Linked DNA regions of Danio rerio. The protein of the gene in region 2 purifies or fractionates together with the protein of the main gene of each other region. This does not show direct contact. Links are inferred from orthologs where the notes say so. Each region holds a gene or a part of one and is shown on either strand. Other genes may lie near its edges.

The links.
Region 1: the proteins of sec16a (region 2) and sec23b purify together in Homo sapiens (affinity purification with mass spectrometry; 3 studies listed by BioGRID and IntAct, with this or other methods). This does not show direct contact. The link is inferred for Danio rerio from reciprocal best matches to the Homo sapiens genes SEC16A and SEC23B.
Region 3: the proteins of sec16a (region 2) and sec13 purify together in Homo sapiens (co-immunoprecipitation; 4 studies listed by BioGRID and IntAct, counting the BioPlex papers as one, with this or other methods). This does not show direct contact. The link is inferred for Danio rerio from reciprocal best matches to the Homo sapiens genes SEC16A and SEC13.

Annotation. Positions count from the first base shown.
Region 1 is NC_133181.1:7,710,583-7,714,847, reverse strand, and holds the start of sec23b (protein transport protein Sec23B), read right to left. Parts: upstream 2,903-4,265; 5' UTR 2,814-2,902; coding exon of another isoform or gene 2,583-2,813; 5' UTR 2,155-2,582; coding exon 2,151-2,154; intron 1-2,150. Other genes in the region: ccdc85al (coiled-coil domain containing 85A, like), read left to right, coding at 2,583-2,813. UniProt on the Homo sapiens protein: Component of the coat protein complex II (COPII) which promotes the formation of transport vesicles from the endoplasmic reticulum (ER).
Region 2 is NC_133196.1:6,562,899-6,566,556, forward strand, and holds part of sec16a (protein transport protein Sec16A), read right to left. Parts: coding exon 1,735-3,658; intron 1,646-1,734; coding exon 1,512-1,645; intron 1,141-1,511; coding exon 1,046-1,140; intron 960-1,045; coding exon 821-959; intron 730-820; coding exon 540-729; intron 1-539. UniProt on the Homo sapiens protein: Acts as a molecular scaffold that plays a key role in the organization of the endoplasmic reticulum exit sites (ERES), also known as transitional endoplasmic reticulum (tER).
Region 3 is NC_133197.1:32,949,613-32,953,270, reverse strand, and holds part of sec13 (protein SEC13 homolog), read right to left. Parts: intron 3,221-3,658; coding exon 3,069-3,220; intron 1-3,068. UniProt on the Homo sapiens protein: Functions as a component of the nuclear pore complex (NPC) and the COPII coat. At the endoplasmic reticulum, SEC13 is involved in the biogenesis of COPII-coated vesicles.

The DNA.
Region 1 (4,265 bases), on a different chromosome or scaffold from region 2:
CATCAAAATATAGCTAATGAGAGCTGTAGACTTGTTACCAATTCATAACTCCTTAATTTTAGCACACACCCACATGGTTCTTTAAAAGACTATGGTAATTTGTAGTAAATAGTGCTTTTGAACTTATATTAGTATTTTTTTCGTTTGTAGAAGGCTAGTATCAGGCTTCTAAACTTCTAAAAAATGACTATGGTAATTTGTAGTAAATTACCATAGTGTTTTTGAACCATAGAAAAGTTTATTATACTGCATATATTAGTATTTAAGCAGTTGTTATTTGTGGAATGTAAGTATCTTATGCTTCTAAATATCTAAAAATTACTATGATAAATAAATAGTCTACTATTAGAATCATAGAAACGTGTATCTGCATATATAAGCATTTAAGCCTCTTTTTTCATTTGTAGAATGCTATCATAATAGTAAATAGCTAGTATAGTGTTTTTGAACAACAGAAAAGTTTAATATACTGCATATATTAGTATTTTTTTTCTTTTGTAGGAGGCTAGTATCATATATAAACTTCTAAAAAACGACTATGGTAATTTGTAGTCAATATATTGCTTTTAAACCATAGAAAAGTTTATTATACTGTATATATAATAGAAAGTTTATTATACCATATATATATATATATATATATATATATATATATATACACACACACACACACACACACACACACTAGATATATAGCTAGTATCATATGTTTTTAAAATGACAACGGTAATTTGTAGTAAATAGCCTACTATAGTGTTTTAAACCATATAAATGTTTATTAAATATATTAGTATTTAAGCAGTTTAATAGGCTAGTGTTATATGCTTCTATGAATGACTATGGCAATTTGTAGTAAGTAGCTACTATAGTGTTTTTGAACAATAGAAAAGTTTATTATACTGTATATATTAGCATTTAAGAATTTTTTCCCCATTAGTAGAACACTAGTATCATATGCTTCTGAAAAATGACAATGGCAATTGGTAGTAAAAAGCTATAGTGTTTTTGAACCATATAAATGTTTATTAAACTGCATATATCAGTATTTAAGAAAATTTTTTTTCATTTGCAGAAGGCGAATATCACATGCTTCTAATATGATAATTTGTAGGAAATAGCTATAGTGTTCTAACCAATAGAAGAGTTTATTATACTGCATATATCAATATTTAGGAGGATCTTTTTTCATTTGTAGAATGCTATCATGCTTCTTAACTTCTAAAAATTGACTAATTTGTAGTAAATATAGTGCTTTTAAACCATAGAAAAGTTTATTATACTGCATATATCAGTAATGTTTTTTTCTTTAGAAATAGTAAATGATAGTAAATCATTAGTAGAGAGCTTATATCTATGCTTCTAATAAACTTGTATTGTAATTGGTAGTAAATAGATTATTATAGTGTTTTTGAACCAAAAACGTTTATTATACTGCCTATATTAGTTAGCGTTTTTTTTTATTTGTAGAATGTTAGTATCTTATGGTTCTAAACATCAAAAAATGACTATGATAATTCTATGGACTCTATGGACGTCTGTTTGAATAGGGTTGGAGCTAAACTATGCAGGGCACTGGCACTCCAGGATCAAGTTTGCCCACACCTGGGCTAGTATCACATACTTCTAAACTTCTATAAATGACTATGGTAATTTGTAGTAAATAGCCTATTATAGTGTTTTTGAACCATAGAAAAGTTCATTACACTGCATATATTAGTATTTAAGCCTCTTTTTTCATTTGTAGAAGGCTAGTATCATATACTACTAAACTTCTAATAATGACTATAGTAATTTGTAGTAAATAGCGTTGTGTTTTTGAAATAGAATAGTTTATTAAACTGCATATAAAGAGACTAAGCCGAAAAGAAAATGAATGAATGAATGAATGAATGAATGAATGAATGAATATTAGCCTACCTAGTATTTAGACATTTTTTTCTGGTGTAGAAGACTGTGTTAACGAGTCAATAGATGGCGCTAGATACAAACTTAAATGGAACTTGAACAACAGCATCACCTCTCGGCCACTCGCGCACACAAACATGCACGACACACACAAACGGAGATAGAGAGAGAGAGAGAGAGAGAGAGAGAGAGAGAGAGAGAGAGAGAGAGAGAGAGAGAGAGAGAGAGAGAGAGAATGAATTTACCCATTCGCTGCAGTCACGCTCATTTCTCCGGAGCTCGGGCTGAGGATGCTGCCGTCTCTCCTCCATATCCACGAGGATGCAGGAGCGCGCAGAGGCGGACGGGGGCGAGCGCACCGGGCCGCCTAAACCCACCCACATCTCACCGGCGATCATACACCGTCACTTTTCCAAACTTACAAGAACTATGCACGGGAGCCGGTGCTGAACAAATTGGGCGGACTCGCTCTATATGCCGGCCTTCCTTCTGCTCATCAGCTGTTGCTGCTTTGGGAAAAGTCGAGGCGACTCCCACTGTAAGGGCATCGGATACGAGCATCTCTACACGATGCGTCCTCAGTCTCCCTGACTCCTCCTGACACTGCCTGCCTGCCTCATTAATATTTGATCTGGTACCACAGCAGCAGAAGCAGCAGCAGCAGCTCGCCTCTTCTAATGGAGAATTCTCCACAAGCACAGCCTGGATCCAAGGCGCCGGAAAGTCCAGCAGAAGACATCGCCAACCTCACGGACGAAGAGCTCCTCCAATGGAGCAAAGAGGAGCTGGTGCAGCGGCTCCGGAGGTGTGAAGCCGATAAAATGAGCGTCATTCTGGATCACAGTAATCTGATTCGGGAGGTGAACCGCAGCCTGCAGCTGCATCTGAACGAGATCCGGGGGCTGAAGGTGAGCAGATGAGATCATGGGCGTCTGGAGCACACCTGCGCTCTCCGAGGAGGCGCCACAAGCTCTTGGGTGCACATTATTCATCCTGTAGGAATAACGCCTACTACTGTTGTCTTATGTGCCTGTTTTTTTATTTAAAGCTTCCAAACTTGGCAAGAAGCACACACATTAGTGGCATTGTTTTGATACCAGAACCACATTTTCGTTTTTTTTTATTTATTTTTTTTATATATTGCAGTGTTAAGACACCTGTTGTGTATGAATGTGACCTTTTTCTAATTTTAATATTGAATGTTGCAGAATATTTTTACTCTAAATGATCTAGGAAGACATTATCACAAATGTATTTTTAAACCAGCTGATATTTTTGTCTGTAAAATGCAAATTTGGATTTTTCACATATTTATTTACCTTAAAGGGATAGTTCACCCAAATATTACAATCTACTTACTATTTACTCATCTTTGAGTGGTTTCAAACCATGCATCCATACCAAACCATCATGAGTTTCTTTATTCTGTTGAACACAAAAGAATATATTTTGAAGAAAGCTGAAAACCGTTAACCAATGACTTCCATAGTAGCAAAAACAAATACTATAGAAGTCAAGGGTTACAGGTTTTCAAAATTTTTCTTTTGTGTTCAGAGGTAGAAACATTTGAGTGAACAAGTGAACAATAAATAAATAATGTCAGAATTGACATTTTTGGGAGAACTATCCCTTTAAGAACATGTTTTTAGAAAAAAGATAAGATATTTTAAGTTTTATAATAATAGTCCATACATCTTTCACAATACATCAGTCATACAATATAAGTTGTCATTTGCTACAAATATTTCAATGCTCTGAATGTTTAATCACATAGCAAAATTTCTCTGGCCCAGATTTGGCCCACACAATCAGAATTACAGTGCATGACTGGACCAATTCTGGCTATCAGACAAGGGCCAAACATGGACCATATCTGGGTCAAGTCTTAGCCAAATTAATGAACTGGGCCAAATACACAACTAGTTTAAACTACTTAATTAAAATGAGCTGAAACAACACAATTTTTGAGATTTCATTTGGGACAACTTAATTTTTTTTATGTTCAATCCACATAATTTTATTAGAAGTGTCAAGTTAACTTAATCGATTTGTGTTAGGACAACACGAATGAATTGTGTGGAACCCTGCATTTTTTACAGTGTATGTTGGTGTGTCACGACTGCAATGAAATTCATAAACCCAGGAAGCATTGCGCTTTGGGCACGTTTTGAATGTTTTTTTTTTTGGAAGTGAACTGATTGGTAGATTTTTTCTTTACCCAAATCATTTAAATGTATTTAAAATGTGGGTCGAAAAAGACTAAACCTATGTGACCCACATTCATTCATTCATTCATTCATTCATTCATTCATTCATTCATTCATTCATTCTTTAGTTCGTTCCTTCCTTCCTTCCTTCCT
Region 2 (3,658 bases):
GGCTATTTCATGGGAACATTAACATCGATAAAAACATTTCGCATAACAATAAGAACTTCAATATTCAATGAGATATGATAAAAAAATAAAATAAAACATTTACCATTAAACAAAAATTCGATATGATTTTTTCAGTTCAAAATATAATCAATAACTTACTTTTTTTTTTCTGGGCATACATTTTTAAAAACCATCCATCAACATACAGTACAGAAATCTTATCTAGTAGTCTATAAAATTTCACATTCTATTAAAATATGCTTTATGCTGAGGGAGGCTTAATGTTGGTGGTGCATCATTCCTAGAGTCATTCCTAGAGTTAACCAATCTAGTATAAACAGTTTGGTCATGCCTGGTCTCAGATTAAATTTAGGGAGTATACTTTCATATATAACTCATTATTAGTACAGTTTTCCCATCCCACTTGCCATTTTTCGCATATATACTAAAGAATTTTAGGTTTCAGATAGGAATTAAACGTTCTGTCAATTAACATTACGCAGATAAATCCACTAAATCACATACATACATACACACACCTGTTGTGACCGTGAGCTGAAGCTACTACGTCGACTGTGTGATGAATGCACACTGTGTGCTGATTGTTCACTGTGAACCGAACGCCGGTCAAAATCATCAGCATATGGGTCACGTCTCCGAGAGTCATCGTCAAAGCTGGAGTCATAACCAGGGTAATATCGCCATGGATCGTCATACCCTTCCCTTCCCCTAGTGACGATTACCAAGAAAAGTGTTCATATGCAAAAACTAAAAGTATTAATAATAATAAAAGATGAATTGCATGAGTGCCTGCGAGTACCTGTTTTGATATTGTTGGTTGTAATACGCCTGTCCTCCTCTGTAACCATCTTGGTTATAATACCATCCATACATTTGATCATAGTATGCTTTGTAGCGTGGATCATAAGCAGCATTGGGATCATACCACCTGCTCCTATCTAAATACACACAAACACCCACAAAATAAGCAAAAGAATATAGAATACATAGAAGGCAGAGATTTGTAGCACTTAAGAGTCTTTACCTCCATAGGCATCGTATTGTCTCTTATAGTAGTTTGCATAGTATTCGTCATAGGCACTACGGCTGGATCTTGAAAAGTCTTCTTGATACCCCTGTCTAAGATTAGAGGAAAAAACTAAAACATTGGTTTCAGAGTAATTTTAGACAAGTGCACACTACCAAAAATCACTAAATGGCATACAGTTCAAGTGCTGTATTAAAAAGCCTTTCTGTGAATATAATGTTTTTGCAGAAAATCAATAATCCTACTTATGATAAACAGCTAGTAAGCACTGGTATGCAAGCATAGCGATGGTATCGACTGATTAAATTCTCCATTCGTGATAAGAACAATGTAATCAGCAACGTCAGGGGAATAGTACAGAAATTTGCTCTCAAATCAAACCAAGAAATCAAAGTGTAAAAACAAAAATCTGACAAAAATCTCAAATCATTAGAAAGTGAGTGAATGTGGAACAAGCCCTCACCTTGAGCTGGGCCTGTCAGAGTATTGACTGGTTCTAGAGCTTGGCCTCTCTGGTTGGCGTTCAGCCTCCCGATAGCCAGGATTCTGTCCATCATACCATCCGTATCGAGGATCGCCTCTACGGTAGGGATCATCCTACAAAAAAACAAACAAACATGTTGATACAAAATGTGGTAGGAATTGAATTCTTTATATGGAAATGTACTGATCATTACATCATGCACCTGATAATAATTTTGAGTTCTGGGATCCACAGGATACTGCGGTGGGTATGGTACTCTTCCATCCTGGTACTCCGGGTAGGCTCCTGGGTAGTACCCTGGGTAACCTGGACCAGGGGGCATGGCAGGAGGAACCCCATAACCTGATTGACTACCTAGAGATGAAGGAGGCCTTTGAGGTTCTTGAGGTGGTTGGGTGGTAGAGTTTCCAGATTGGGGTGGGTAAGGAGGTGGTTGGGCAGATCCAGGTCCAGTAGGAGGGGCGCCAGGATGTGTTGGAGGGGCCTGTGGAGGAGGCTGGTTTTGAGCTGGAGGTGGAGGAGGATGGGAGTTCAGAGTCTGATTATTGTCAAGTTGGTTGCTAGAGGGTAATGGGGGGTTGGAGTTCTGCTGATGGGACAGAGAATCAGTGTCAGACTGTCCCCCTTGCTGTGCATCTTTGGTGACCTGCAGGTAAAAGCCAGGTGTGTTATTCACCAAGCCTGCAGGATGGGTTGATTGAGAGACAGCTGGGACTGATGTGACCTGATTTGTAGACTGTGGCTGATGCATAGAAAAATCAAGCAGCTGATAATTTGAAGGTTGGTTGTGATTGGTGGAGGCAGCTGAAGAAGGCGGAGCTTGAGTAGCAGAAGGCGGAAGAAATTGGCTATCACCTTTAAGAGACTGGGCCCTTGAGAGGTTTGGTCGGGCTGCCTGACCATCGTTGGCCTCTCGCGTTAGATTCAAGACACCTTGAGCTGAGGAAGAACTGAAGTTTACTGGTGTCTGAGAAAAAAGAAGTGGTGGCTGATTTGTTGGAGGAGAATTCTGAGGCATTTGATTGGTCAATGAAGATTGAGGATGTGGGTGAACAGGTGCTGCTGTCTCTTGAGGACTTGGCAGAATTGATGGTTGTAAGAGATTTTGGGATGAAATCAAACTGTAATTAGAGGAAGGTGGCGCAATCAAGACGGGCTGGTTCAGAGCCTCTTCTGGAGGTGAGGTCACAAGCAAGGAGGCATATCCCAGACTTGCCTGAGGTGTAGAGTCTGGAGGAATCTCAAGGTTTTCAGAGGGAGGTTGTGGATCTGGCCTAGCTGGATGCAGATCAAGTGGCCCATCTTCTGGTGGCTGAATTACTTCAGATGGATGTGCTGGAACAAATGTTGCAGTCAGAGACGGTGCTGCAGGGGCTAACAGTATGTTAGCACTTAGACTGGCAGTGTCATTTTGAGCCCAGAGTGCAGTTGCAGGACTTTCGATGGGGCGTCGTGCCCCCTGAGCTCGAGATGAGGGTCGGCGTTCTGATAAGTAAATAGTCTCCAAGTTATCTGGAGGATGCTCTAAATTGCCAGGCTGCATGTCACGTCCACCCTTTTCCATGACCACACGTGCACGATCAACTTCAGCAGGTCGAACTCCTACACCATGTGAACGAACAGGCTCAAATGAGGAATTTGCACTTGCCTGGAACACACCAACTGGTTTAGGTGGACTAGGAGTTGGGAAAGTAGGACTTGCCTCTGCAGCTGGGTTAGAGTCTATTTGTTCAAAGTATCCACCAGTTGAGGGATGCAGTGGAGGGTGATCAGGTGGACGAGGACTCTCCTGTTGGATAAATGTTCCCACTACTTGTTGTCTACGAGGGACATGACCCCCACTGTGAGCACCGTGTCCACTACTGTGACTGACATTACTGTAGCTGGATGAGACACTTGCAGAGCGGGCAAGGCGAGGAGCAGAGTCTGGTGTCTCCAAGTTAGGTCCCCCCTCAAAGGCATGACTTGGAGGTGGCTCACTAGGCAGAACTTCCTGGTTTGGAACACATTCCAGATTCTCCACTGAATCACTTGGTCCTGTCCCAGCTCGTATGTTACCACTGTCATTCAAATAGGGACCAGAGAATTCTGTTGTTGAATGGAGAGGTTGATGAATTCCATTTACA
Region 3 (3,658 bases), on a different chromosome or scaffold from region 2:
TTAAAACATAACACATTTATTTGTAGAAACTGGCTTTCTTAGCACTGATGTACAAAACGAGAGGCTTTAAAACTCAAAAGGGATGATCCCTTTATCCAAAAATCTTGAATCCTCTGTAAAATCTCCCCTTAAAACAATGCATTTACTGCTCATTAATGCTTGTCTGACATGCATGTCTGCTTCTAATAAAAATAATGGCTAGTGTGTAGGTTGCAGATAAGCCAACTATTAAAAAAAAAATCACTATTATATACAGAGGAAGCAATACAATATGCTAGATTTCTTGCTAGTGGCTATTTTGAAATAAAGGGCTCTATTTTGACTGTCCATGCGCAGAGCGCAAAACGCAGGGCGCAAACGCTTTCAGGGCATGTCAGAACGCATTTTTGCTAACTTAAGGACGGGAAAATCCGCTTTGCGCCATGGCGCATGGTCTAAAAGGGTTGAGTTTATTTTCTTAATGAGTTATAGGTGTGTTTTGAGAATAAACCAATCAGAGTCTCATCTTCCATTACCTTTAAGAGCCAGCTGCGTCGCACCATTAGCGCATTGCTATTAACATGACGTAAAGTAAGTTCACTTTCACTTTTGCTCTCGTGGATAAGGAAACCTTACCGCACAGACATAAATTAGCCTTTAAATAATTAGTTTCGTTTGTTAAACTGTTGTTATACAGTTGAAGTCAGAATTATTAGCCCTCTTGAATATTAGCAAACCTTTTCCTGCCCAATTTCTGTTTCATGGAAAGAATATTTTATTAACTTATTTCTGAACATAATAGTCTCATTTCTAATTACTGATTTCTTTTTGTCTTTGCTATATTGACAGCACATAATATTTTATTAGATATTTTTCAAAATACAAGCATTCAGATTAAAGTGCAGTTCAAAGGCTTAATTAGAGTAATAAGGCAAGTCATTATAACGGTAGTTTATTCTGCAGACAATCAAAAATATATTTTGCTTAAGGGGGCTAATAATATTGACCTTAAATTGGTTTCAAAATATTTAAACCTTTCTTTAATCTAGCTAAAATAAAACAAATAGAAGAAAAAATATTATAGGAAATACTGTTAAAATTCCTTGCTCTGTTAAACATAATTTGGGAAATATTTAAAAAAAAAAAAAAAAATCTCAGGAGCGCTAAAAATTTTGACTTTAACTGGCAATGGTTTTGAATAATCGTGATTACAATTATGACCAAAATAATCGTGATTATGATTTTTCCCAAAATCGAGCAGCCCTACTATTATATATGTATTTTTAAGTACCAAAAAAAAAATCTAAACACATGCTTAAAATTCCAACATAATAGTGAAAATAATTAAAATAAATAACTTTAAATAATTATTTAAATTTTGCTCACTCGCGCAATCTGCTTGTCAACGTGTCGTGAAGGCAAAATCAAAACAAAAATGGCAGACAAACGTAAATGCAGTGATTATTCAGAGGCGAAGAAAAAGATTAGACAGTATGACAAAGCCTACCTAGATTTTGGTTTTATTGAAGGCCAAGACAAGTTAAAACTGATTAATTAATATTTTCTATACATATTACTATATATTAATATTACACAAACACACACACACACATACATATATATATATATATATATATATATATATATATATATATATATATATATATATATATATATACACAGTACATATGTGTGTGCGTGCGTGTGTATTTATATGGTGGGGGGGCTCCAATGTTTGTATATGTTCATGGGGGGAGCCCCAAAGAAAAAGGTTGGGAACCACTGGTGGTGTTGAGTTTTTTTGAACCTGTTTTTTTTTTTTTTTTTTTCAGGTGAGTTGGGTCATCTTTAGCACACAGTAAAATAGTACAATAAATAAAGTGGCATTGCAAAAAGGTGCATACACTATTTATGAGTTTGTCCACCTAACAATCCCATTTTGCACTGCATGAACAAAACTTTAGTGAGATAAACTGATAAAACAGATATTTTCCTTTGAGGACATAATTTAAAGTTGAAAACAGGTAATAAATAGCAATATAATCGCACAATAGCACTATAATACTGTATCTAGGGCTGCTCGATTTTGGGAAAAATCATAATCACGATTATTTTGGTCACAATTGTAATCACGATTATTCAAAACCATTACTGTTTAAGTCAAAATAATTAGCGCTCCTGGTAATTTTTTTTTAAATAAATATTTTCCAAATGATGTTTAACTGGAATTTAACCGTATTTCCTCTAATACTTTTTTCTCCTGGTGAAAGGCTTTTTTATTTTGGCTAGAATAAAAGCAGGTTTAAATATTTTGAAACCCATTTTAAAGTCTATAATATTAGCCCCCTTAAGCTATATATTTTTTGATTGTCTGCAGAAGAAACTACTGTTATACAATAACTTGCCTAATTACACTAATTAAGCCTTTAAATCGCACTTTGAATCTGAATGCTTGTATTTTGAAAAATATCTAGTCAAATATTATGTGCTGTCATCATGACAAAGATAAAATAAATCAGTTCAGAAATCTTCTTTCCATTAAACAGAAAACGGGAGAAGAGAGTTGCTAATATTCAGGAGGGCTAGTATTTCTCACTTCAACTGCATATACAGTTATTTTCCCACCTGCAAACATAAGAGAAATAAAAACAATAGAATAAAAATATGAAGCAAACTGTGCTTTATGCATCTTCAATGTCAGAAAAACACTTTAGCTGCAGCAGTCCTTGAGTCAAGAGCAGAAAGACATGTTCTCCATTTATTGTTTGATTAATAATTATAAAAACAGGCGGTAGAAGGATTATCGCGCACTGTCTCTTAAAATGGTTTCTCTTTCGCATGTCTTTTGATTTTCAACACGCGTACAACTAGAAAGGGGGCAGTAAATGATGCAATAATCGTTTATCTCGATTAATGTTTTTACATAATCGTTAGAAGCCAAAATTAAAATCGAAATCGAATTTTTGATTAATTGCACAGCCCTAACTGTATCGTGACAATATTGTGGAACTGGTGATTCCCACCCCTTAAAAAATATTGCTAAAATGTGAAATGGAAACGTGTGATTTGAGAATGGGAAGGGAGGTTACCCGAGGAGTCGTGGCCTGTGTATTCATACATCTTGTCCCAGGTGCTGTTCTCCTCTTTCCAGATGATCACCTTCCTGTCGTAGGAGCAGGACGCCAGGATGTTGCCGTACATGGGATGAGCCCAGGCCACCTGCCACACCGGACCCTCATGACTGAACAGAGACATTCAGAGGTATAATGTATGATAATGAAATTCTGTATCAGTCATAAGTCCGCGGATTTTTAGTCCATAATTGCGACTATTTATTTAATTGTTTTCATGTGTGTACATGTATATTTATTCCGTTTTTAAATTCATTCATTTTCTTGTCGGCTTAGTCCCTTTATTAATTATTAAATATTAATTATTTATAATTTTTTATTAATTATTAATTTATTATTATTATTATTAATAATAATAATAATTAATTAATTATTTAATAAATTTTATTGACAGATAGAAGAGAATGTTCATATGATTTATTTACAAAACAATTTTTAAAGTAATATTTTTTTAACCGCCAACTTATCCAGCAAGTTTTTACGCAGCGGATGCCCTTCCAGCTGCAACCCATCTCTGGGAAACATCTACACACACATTCACACACACA